Linked DNA regions of Saccharomyces cerevisiae S288C. The protein of the gene in region 3 purifies or fractionates together with the protein of the main gene of each other region. This does not show direct contact. Each region holds a gene or a part of one and is shown on either strand. Other genes may lie near its edges.

Region 1 (3,539 bases), on a different chromosome or scaffold from region 3:
TTGTTTTTCTATGATTTTCGATCTGGCCGTGTCAACGTTAATAAAAAATAAGTCGAGGAAGAGAGTAGTTACATATGTAGTGGTGTTCGTTGGTGCAATATTTGTTGATATAACGATGAGACAGGTCACCAAAGAATTTCAAATATTTGAGGTTTATATCTTTTCTAATTTGGCGCCAAGTTATTATCCTGTGATACCCAGTAAGACAAAAAATGCCCCATAGCAGTCCTTATCTTAATACTGACCATTATGAAGGGGCTTACATTGTACAAACATATTTGTAATAGAATGTACCGGATATTTAAAATAACCCAAGCATCAATTGTGTAGTATTCTTAATTTTTTTTCTTGGTAAATTTTTGGGAGAACATTTTTTTGTGTCATCTTAGGGGAAATTATAAACCATTATACACTCCATACCATGCACTTACTTAAATTCTATGGACACATCCATCAATTAAAAGATAAAACTAATAAATAGAAGCATGTTATATATGAATATATATATTCTTTCTGTCATAATATAAAAGGGCGAGCATGTTATTCCCTAAACGTCTGATTGTGTGGGGTGTTCTATTGATTTTAAGTTTATCACAATTTGTCCTCTACCTGCCAGCCACAACATGTACGAACTCTAAGGGACTTAGGTTATGCGCTCCACAGTTTACTATAACTGTGATTGGAGGATCCAGTACTGCAAATGAGTTTATTGCAAGTGTAAGAGAATTTCTGCGATTGATTTCGTACCTGACAATTGACATGGGTTGGTCGAATGAATTCACTGATCCAAGTGTGTATGAGGATGAAAATTTGGTGGACACATTTCAGCCTGATAAGGTTTTTGAGCTCAATTATTTTGGATTTTGTAAACGGAGTAATAAAAGCAAAGTTTATTGTACCTCTAATGAGAATTATGGCATGGACGTACTTGAAGTACTTGTCAGAGACGTCGGGATTCAATTAGGTAACATTTCCACTACACGATCGAATGAAACCAAAAAATTCGGAGACTCTCTCGTATTGACCTACCGTTTGGCATTGACATCTATTCGTGATTTTTTGAAACACGACAAGCACACAGGAAATGCCCTATCAAAGGCTTTGATTGGCAGTCCTGATCCAAATGTAAAAGGCGTGTCACCAACAAAAAACTATCTGAAAGGCGTCAACCTGGCATTTATACTGATGATGTTCAACGGCATGGTTTTTTACTTTGCAGTGTTGGAAATAATAGTCGGATTCCTCAGTATCTGCGTAGTGTCAGCCTTTGGGGGAGCACTTAGTGTTGGGAAACGACACCGCTTATTTCCTATGCTTTTGAAGTCATCAAGTTCAATATTAGTTGTTATTGCTACATTGACAATATTATGTAACATCGTATATTTGATTGCACTGAAAACATTAGAACCTGAAGAGGTAACAGACGTAGGATCTGACAACGCTGCTGTACACACTACAGGCTGGGAACTGTTAAAAGTAAACGTGGGAAGTGGGTTCATTATGGGGCTCGCCAGGTATGCCATCCAGTGGGTCCTATTGGTACTCGCATTTCTTGCAGCAAATCATTACAAAGCTAAGCCCAAAAAGTCTGATAAGTATACAGAAGACACATCTAACTCCCCTTCTCCAGACTTGATGGAGAAGTAATTCACCACAGAACTTTTTTTTCAAATGACAGTAAATATGTAAACATATACACAGCCTTTCAGTATATTAAGTATTTTTGCATAACGTCCTTTTTTCCCGCTCGGTCAAGGCTTTGAAAAGATATTATCAATGTTCTATTCTTACTGAGAAAAGCGTTCCTCCAAAATGCTTTTGCTGTAACGTACAGGCAGAGACTTCAGGAGTATATAATGGCAGGATTGAAGACATTTGATGCGTTTCGTATGTTATATGGATTTTTCTGAAGTAGCCCGCTTCAGCATATTTTATTTTTGCTTTTGCTTTTTCACTAACAATGGAAATTTAACTTTACAGCAAAAACTGAAGAACAGTACAAGAAGAAATCCACCAAGGGTGGCTTAACATCTTTGTTGACATATCTGTTTCTGTTGTTTATAGCATGGACCGAGTTTGGTGAATACTTCGGTGGTTATATTGACCAGCAGTACGTAGTGGACAGTCAAGTTAGAGATACCGTTCAAATTAATATGGATATATACGTCAACACGAAATGTGATTGGTTGCAAATCAACGTCAGAGACCAAACAATGGATCGGAAACTTGTATTAGAGGAATTGCAATTGGAAGAGATGCCATTCTTTATTCCTTATGACACAAAAGTCAATGATATCAATGAAATTATTACGCCGGAATTGGATGAAATCTTAGGGGAAGCTATCCCAGCAGAATTTAGAGAAAAACTAGATACTAGGTCATTTTTTGATGAAAGTGATCCTAACAAGGCACATCTTCCGGAATTCAATGGGTGCCATGTATTTGGGTCCATTCCGGTAAATAGAGTTAGTGGCGAATTGCAGATTACAGCGAAGAGTTTAGGTTACGTGGCTTCACGCAAAGCACCACTGGAAGAATTAAAATTTAATCATGTTATTAATGAGTTCTCTTTTGGTGATTTCTATCCATATATTGATAACCCATTGGATAACACTGCACAGTTTAATCAGGATGAACCTTTAACTACTTACGTCTATTACACATCTGTTGTGCCCACTCTTTTCAAGAAATTGGGGGCAGAAGTGGATACTAATCAATATTCTGTTAACGATTACCGCTATTTGTACAAAGATGTCGCTGCTAAAGGTGATAAAATGCCGGGCATCTTCTTCAAATACAATTTCGAACCATTATCCATAGTAGTTTCTGATGTTCGTTTAAGCTTTATACAGTTTTTGGTCAGATTAGTGGCAATCTGCTCATTTTTGGTCTACTGTGCTTCGTGGATTTTCACACTACTGGATATGGCTCTTATCACCATCATGGGACCTAAGTGGTCCTTGCGTTATCAGCCAGATGATAAAACTAAGGGTATTTTAGATAGGTAGATATGTAAAAGAAAAGAGAATGCAGTATACCCAAGATAACGTTTCATTTTCATCTGTATAAATTTCATGACAATAGATTATAAGAAAAAGTGTGAGACTGAAGGCAGAGCGATCGCACTCAAGTTTCTGTGCCAGGCATACCTTCAAACAATCGTCCATAACAGCCTGAATATGCTTCTCTAAAATGTTCATAAGGGTCCTCAGGATAAAGTAATACTCCGCATATAAAACAGAACAGCGTCCCGCATACTTCGCATTTCATTTTATTGCAACCTTCACTTCTTTCTACAACTACCTTACACTTTGGACATCGCTGCAAATTCGAACCCTCTTTTTTAATCGCTAAATCTAACATTTTTTCAGCAAGGTAATCATTGACTTCAAGTTCTAATACTCTTCTCCCATATTTTGCCTCCAGTTTCCGCTTTCTCTCATATGAAGTAACGGTATCATCTAGATATTCCTCAATAATATCGGTCGATAACGAAACTTTCTTGCCACATTTATTGTTGTAACCATGCCAGGCATGCA
Region 2 (3,322 bases), on a different chromosome or scaffold from region 3:
ATCTCTTTCAACTTGCTCTGTTGATATTATATTAAACTGTTTGCTCATCACTTCCAGCAGCCTGCTATTCATTGAATTGGTTGCTTCCATTTTTTGTAAATTGTTCAATGTTGGTTTCCAAAATTTGTTGACAAAATCATTGTAAAATTTGATGTCTTTAATCAGCAAATCATTTTCTCTCTTCATATGTTTTATGAATAATTTGATACCTGTTGTATAGTCTTTGGTCCAATATGTGTTCCTTAGTGAAATTTTAACTGAGTCGCAATCAATGGAGAGTTGCCTCGAATTCTGTAATTCATCACCAATAATATCTTCTTCGTTATGCTCTTTAACAGACATAACTAGAGACCGAAAGAAAATGCTCTCTTTCTCTTGCCTTTGTCTATGTAATGACAATACTTAATCTACTGGGCCTGACTGGTTTTTTGTTTACTAGTTGCTCTAAAAAATGCAAACGTCAATAAAAAAGAAAAATATGGAAAAGAAAATATACTTTCCCGTATTAACTTGGGTAAAATATAGTAGTATTGTATTGGTGATTTTTCTTTCCTGTGCAAAATAGTTGGCAGAGCATTACACATATTTCTTATTTAGAATATTCAAATAAAGAAAAACTAACTACATGTTAAAAAAAAAGGCAATCCTAAACAGCCAATCTATCAAAGTCAGGTTCTATCTCATAACCGAATACACGGGCTAGAGAGTAGATGTACTTCCTTACCGAGTTGATGACTACACGAGCTAACCCAACAGCCCTTTTACGAAATTTTGGCTGGTTGTTCGTTGTGATGTCATCATTTTTCTTAGCCATATGTTGCTCACTAGTCGTTGGTAGCACATAATCACCAGCTGACAGAGAAACAAATAAGGCAAATGGTATGAACCAAACGCATATACCAAAAAATGAGGCTACTTCAGCGAAACTAGCACGTCTGCGTGGTATATAATTTGGATCAAATTTGAACTGTGGGGGAACTTCCGTATCATTAAAATATTTGAACCAGAAGTAGTGATTCAAGACCACACATACGCAGCTTAATAGGAAAGTTGGGCTGGTTAACGAAATAAATGGGAAACTTTTTAAGTTTTGGTAATATACTATGTAACATGCAATGGAAAAAAGTGTAAGTTTGAACGGGAAACCGTCTAGTAACAGTAGCAGAATTAATATTAATATTATACCATAAATAGCCCTTGTGAGAAACCGTCTTGTGGGTTCTGTGTGTTCTTCAACAAGTTCACTAATGTAGTATAAACCCGATGCAATTGAAAGTGTTAAAAAAAGAAACCCTGAAACGGTTCCTGCATAAGAAATCAATTCTAACAGCATGGTTTTATTCTAACAATTTCTTTTCTCCCTTTTGCTCTTTTTCTCACTTGTCAACTATATGTTTTTAGTTTTAATTTTCACATTGACCATTCAACCTTTAAAAAATCATAAAGTTATAAATGATAGAGAAATAAGAACAAAGGGAAAAAAAATAATACCGGTATAATGCCACCTGCCAGAATTGAACTAGCGACCTTTGCATTACAAGTGCAACGCTCTACCACTAAGCTAAGGAGGCTAAAAATACAACTATGTTGTATCTCAAAATAAGATACGTCAGTATGACAATACGTCATCCCAAACGTTCATAAAACACACATAACAAACGAATAGAATGAGTAACATAACTGTTGGAATGCGAGAATGAGATATTTGTGAATTTTGAGATAATTTGTGGGAATCCATTGTTCACAAAGACAATAATATTAGGTATATAGAATATGCTAGAAGTTCTCCTAGAGGATATAGGAATCCTCAAAATGGAATCGATATTTCTACATGATAATATTAGGATTATTCCTCATTCCGTTTTATATGTTTCATTATCCCATTACATTATCAATCCTTGCACTTCAGCGTCCATTAAGTTCGATGACTGTGTCCCAATCCTATGTCATCTTCTTACACCGCATGTAATAATATAATAGTAATATGACTACTATAAATAGATGACATTTTAGAGTTTCATGTCTTCATAAATGTTTGGCAGGAAGTTTGAAAAGATGGAACGTGCTGCTGCTGATGTAAGGGTCTGAATAAAACCGGATGTCTTGGCAATCCTAATGTCGCTAGGATAGTTGCTTGTCTTTCCAACAAAAGATATAATTCACAAATATTTCTCTGTGCTCCGCATATATTTGGCTTGATGTTTTAAATAGTTTGTGAGTAGTAATTCAATACAAATACTATCAAGCTTTAAGATTCATTATTTCACCAAAATAATCAGTTTTTGTTTTATATGAGGTTGAGTGTCTCAGCTAACTTATGATAAGCTATCTTTAACATGACAAACGGGATGTGATATTTGTTGTCTTGGCTCCAGATCAGCAGTTGTACTAATCTTGCTTACACTGAGCGTGTTCTATGCATTATCTTTAACACTCTTGTACGTCTTGTTTACCATACTTTGCCATATCCTTGTTCTTAAGAAAGGAATTTTGATCTAACATCTCTGAAATCGTGGCACCGTCTAGTAAAATATTAGACACTACTAACGTTACTAAGGAATAAGGTACAACAATTAAAGTCGCTAGTTCGTGAGATTAAAATCTGTTACATATTCTTAGATTGAGAGTTAACGCTGCATATTTCTCTTTGGTGATGAATTAGTCATAAATTGCATTTGCGTCACTCATTATTGTGCTTCTGTGTGAGAGTATTTTAGGAATTTATATATATATATATATATATATATATATATATATAGTATACTGGCTCCCGAGCCAGATGAGGGGGTATGAGGTTTCGACGCTTAAGGTATTATCTGAATCACAGTCGCATACACTAGTTGACCCTCAGTACAGAGATTCCCACGATTAACGGGCTGAACGGGTCCTGACTAATGTAGTTTTGAGTTCACCTGTTGGTGCAGTATTGTTATCGGCACTGGCACTGGTACTGGCACGGGTGTTTGGAAAAACTCTGTAGCATTCAATGGAGAGATTACTACATGAGTGGCGATCCAACGCGAGACATAATCTGTATTAGCTTCATAACCATACTCTGTCAGTAAGGAGCCATAGTCGACATCTGTAACATTCCTAGTAGTGCCAACTGTACCCGGCATGATATTATCTCTGACATCCCCAAAATACACAGCTGTACCATTTATTAAGTGGTAGATTGAGGGAGAGTCTATTCCACCAAGATAGAATCCGTTTCTTTCGAGAAAAATGACTTCATTAAAATTAAGTCCTGCTGGAATGTTAGTGAAGAATCTCAAAGGATTAGTAAGATCAACATCAGGGAGGGAACTATTGTTGATCGAGG
Region 3 (3,484 bases):
CTTCCTCCACATTTAGCGGCCTCGATTTATTATTAGCAGCCGTAGCGGACGTTCCAATAGCATTACCGTCTGAAGGCCCTGCTTGTAAGAAGGCAGTGGTCGAATCTGCGTTTGTGTTCGTATTTGGACTTGGAAGACCAGCAGAAGAGGAACTTCCTTCAAACGGGCTGTCGTCCTCAACAGACAGACCTTGTTTGACGATCGTCAACAGGATAGAAACAATGACAACAATTTCTAAGGATTCCCTTAAGAAAATGAAGAATATCTGGAAAGAAAAATAATCCTCAAACGCCATGGTGACTAGAAATATGAACACCACTCTAGTTCTCTATTCTTAGAGTTTTTTCGCTTTTCTGTAGAGGACAAAAGTTCAGTAAGATGCTTGATTCTTTATAATATCAAGTTTGTGTTTTTGTAGGCTGGTTTAGATACAATTTTGCTTTTCTCTCTTCATCTCCGGCCGCACCGCACCCATTTTTGAACCCAAGAAGGCACTAGAATAAAGTGAGGTGGCTACTACATTGAATTATGTGTATATAGATAGATACATGTTGACGTTTTAGCACCTGTTTTGACGGAGCAGGCGCTATTTGTAGTTTGGTTTTTAAATTCCTGGTGGAAGCTTGTAATTTCCTGCTGAAAAGTACTTTCTAGTACAGAAGTAGTCAGGAGTCCAGGTGACGTCCTTGCTAGGTTCGCAGATACACTTGTTTTGTAGTCTAATCTTCTGTTCGATAGGACAAGAGGTGAAATCTGGATGATGGAATCCAAGACCGTCAAAGAAATGGATTTCTGACTTGTCCAAGAACAAAGAGGCAGCGATGGAGTGCACTGGCGCATCCCCCCATCTTTCGTAGAAGAATCCACCAGAACTGTCTAAGTAATCAAAGTATTCTCTGTATGCATCGGACCTGAAGAAGTCTAAAGAGCCGATTTCGAAGTTGGTCCAGAAATGACACATATTATAAGTGTCACCATCATCATTCGAAATGAATTTCATGAGGTTATTTTTGTGTAAGAATTTAGGATTTTTCTTGATGAATTTCTTTGTCGTTTCCCACAAGGTTGGGATTGTGCGCTCATATTCACTTACCGAAAGAATGAATCCATATTTCTTGTTATTTACTTTTAAAAACTTGAATATGTCATACTGAATATCACAGAATAAAGTGATATCGGTATCCACTCTCCAAAACCATTCGTACTCCTCCAGTAGTGGGTGTCTCCATATGAACCCTGACTGGAAACGGCACATGTGACGGTAAGGCACGGAACTACCATATGGAATATCCAATTTTCCCATTGCAAGCCTTTTCTCATCGAATTTTTCAGTATCGATCCAAGATGGAATGGACCAATGGTCCTTTGGGATTGTCCCATATTTTGCCTTGCCTGAAACCAATGCACTGGTAACACGTTTAAACTCATCACTAAATGGTTGGTCATTCAAGAACACCCAATCGTAGTGATATCTGTTATTGAACCTGTCTTCAACATGTCTAATAGATTTTACCAAGTTCCATAAATCTGAATTCCTGGCCAATGTGACCATAACACCCTTTTCCTTCTTTCCATCGTCCACGGGATGGATTACTCCTTGTGACTTGTCAGTAAACGGCATCAAATAATCCTTACTGGCTACACGACTGACACTGGTGCCCTGAGCTATTGGTACCTCTGGGGACCTTGAGCCACTCATGAAAAATAAAAAGGATAACACTATGATGAGCCCAATGAATGATGATCTGATTCCCTTTTGGTATTTTCTAATCAGCAATGCCGATTTGGGCATTAGCTTCTTTTTGTGGTGCACAGACATAATTGCACGCTGGATATTGATAGTGTTGTTGTCCGCAGACGAGGCCTGACCTTCTTTATGCAAATTTTAACCATCAGTTACGTTGTTTTCTTCGAAAAGTTTCAAGAGGACGCGCCATTCTTTTAACCCGGCAATTTTAAAGGGTTCATTAATAAAGAACTACCAAGATGGTACAGTCGCATTTGGATCGTAACTCAACGTTAGAAGAAAGCCTTAAACCGAGAACTTTTTCTCTTGGTAATGAATATGGCAGAACGTGCAGAAGCAACAAAAAGTTGGTCCTGTGAGCCCCTTTCTGGAAAGACGCTAGAAGAGATTGTTCAAAATGCAGAAAATGCAGCTGATTTGGTAGCTTACATTCGCAAACCAGAGGTAGATTTGGACTTTAGGTTGAAGTTTATCGCAGAACATGAGGAGTTTTTTAATGTACAACTATCGGATCGAAATTCAAGAATAAGGACGTGTCACAACTTGAGCGATAAAGGGATACGGGGTGATACTGTTTTCGTCTTCGTGCCTGGGTTGGCTGGCAACTTAGAACAATTTGAACCCTTACTCGAGCTTGTGGACTCTGATCAAAAGGCATTTTTGACGTTAGATCTGCCCGGCTTTGGTCATAGTTCAGAATGGAGCGACTACCCCATGCTGAAAGTGGTGGAACTTATTTTCGTTCTTGTATGTGACGTCTTAAGAAAATGGTCTACAGCGGTGCCGAATAATGATAACGTAAATCCATTTAACGGTCATAAGATAGTGCTTGTAGGGCATTCTATGGGTTGTTTTCTGGCATGTCATCTTTACGAGCAGCACATGGCTGATACAAAAGCGGTACAAACGCTAGTTTTGTTGACGCCCCCCAAAGCACATATCGAGCAGCTTTCTAAGGATAAACATATTATCCAGTGGGCTCTCTATGGTGTGTTTAAATTGCCATGGCTATTTGACGTTTATAGAAACAAATTCGATCAGGTAAAAGGTCTACAAAGTTCCGGCATCAAGCAGTATTTTTATCAACAAGGTGATGATGTCAAGTTGAAATACAGGAAGTTCTGGCAATTTAAAAACAACATAAGCAACAAAAGTAGAACCATCATAGGTTATTTACTAGGATGGGAAACTGTTGATTGGGTTAAATTCAATGGTGTATTGACGCAAACGGATATGAAACAGAAAATTATAATATTTGGCGCTGAAAAAGATCCTATAGCTCCTATTGAAAATTTGGAATTTTACAAACAAACTATAAATAAAGAATGTCTTCGTAAAGTGATTATTTTACCTGACTGTTCTCATAATTTATGCTTCGACCGTCCAGAATTGGTGTGTGAAAACTTTCAACGAGAGGTGATTGATAATTCCAAATTGTAGAAGGTTTTCTAGATTTCACATTGCGTAACTAGATTTTCGTGCACACTGCTACATGAATTGATAAAACAAACCAGAAAAAGTAACTAAGACCAATATTTTCAAATTTTTCATAGTATACTTTATATCGTACATCTTACAAGCAAAAATCAAAGGTAGTGTCTATGTATGCAAAAAAATAGGAAACGAAAAATAAATATAAATAAATAAAGCCATGAAATGTAGAAAGGCTATGCAAAAAAGAAAAAAATAAACATCAATAATATTTGGCCAAATAAATTAACAGAACGTATGCTGTTA

Evidence for each region.
Region 1: the proteins of KTR3 (region 3) and ERV41 purify together in Saccharomyces cerevisiae (affinity purification with western blotting; 2 studies listed by BioGRID, with this or other methods). This does not show direct contact.
Region 2: the proteins of KTR3 (region 3) and SVP26 purify together in Saccharomyces cerevisiae (affinity purification with western blotting; 5 studies listed by BioGRID). This does not show direct contact.

The regions. Positions count from the first base shown.
Region 1 is NC_001145.3:138,532-142,070, reverse strand, and holds ERV41 (Erv41p), read left to right. Parts: upstream 1-1,856; coding exon 1,857-1,887; intron 1,888-1,980; coding exon 1,981-3,008; downstream 3,009-3,539. Other genes in the region: SMA2 (Sma2p), read left to right, coding at 538-1,647; ITT1 (RBR-type E3 ubiquitin transferase), read right to left, coding at 3,127-3,539. UniProt on the Saccharomyces cerevisiae protein: Constituent of COPII-coated endoplasmic reticulum-derived transport vesicles. Required for efficient transport of a subset of secretory proteins to the Golgi. The C-terminal Ile-Leu motif is required for exit from the endoplasmic reticulum.
Region 2 is NC_001140.6:465,239-468,560, reverse strand, and holds SVP26 (Svp26p), read right to left. Parts: upstream 1,334-3,322; coding exon 647-1,333; downstream 1-646. Other genes in the region: RGD3 (Rgd3p), read right to left, coding at 1-342; YHR180W (uncharacterized protein), read right to left, coding at 2,892-3,322. UniProt on the Saccharomyces cerevisiae protein: Plays a role in retention of a subset of membrane proteins in the early Golgi compartments. Facilitates endoplasmic reticulum to Golgi transport of mannosyltransferases MNN2 and MNN5.
Region 3 is NC_001134.8:631,957-635,440, reverse strand, and holds KTR3 (mannosyltransferase KTR3), read right to left. Parts: upstream 1,820-3,484; coding exon 605-1,819; downstream 1-604. Other genes in the region: FTH1 (Fth1p), read right to left, coding at 1-295; LDH1 (triacylglycerol lipase), read left to right, coding at 2,060-3,187. UniProt on the Saccharomyces cerevisiae protein: Possible glycosyltransferase that transfers an alpha-D-mannosyl residue from GDP-mannose into lipid-linked oligosaccharide, forming an alpha-(1->2)-D-mannosyl-D-mannose linkage.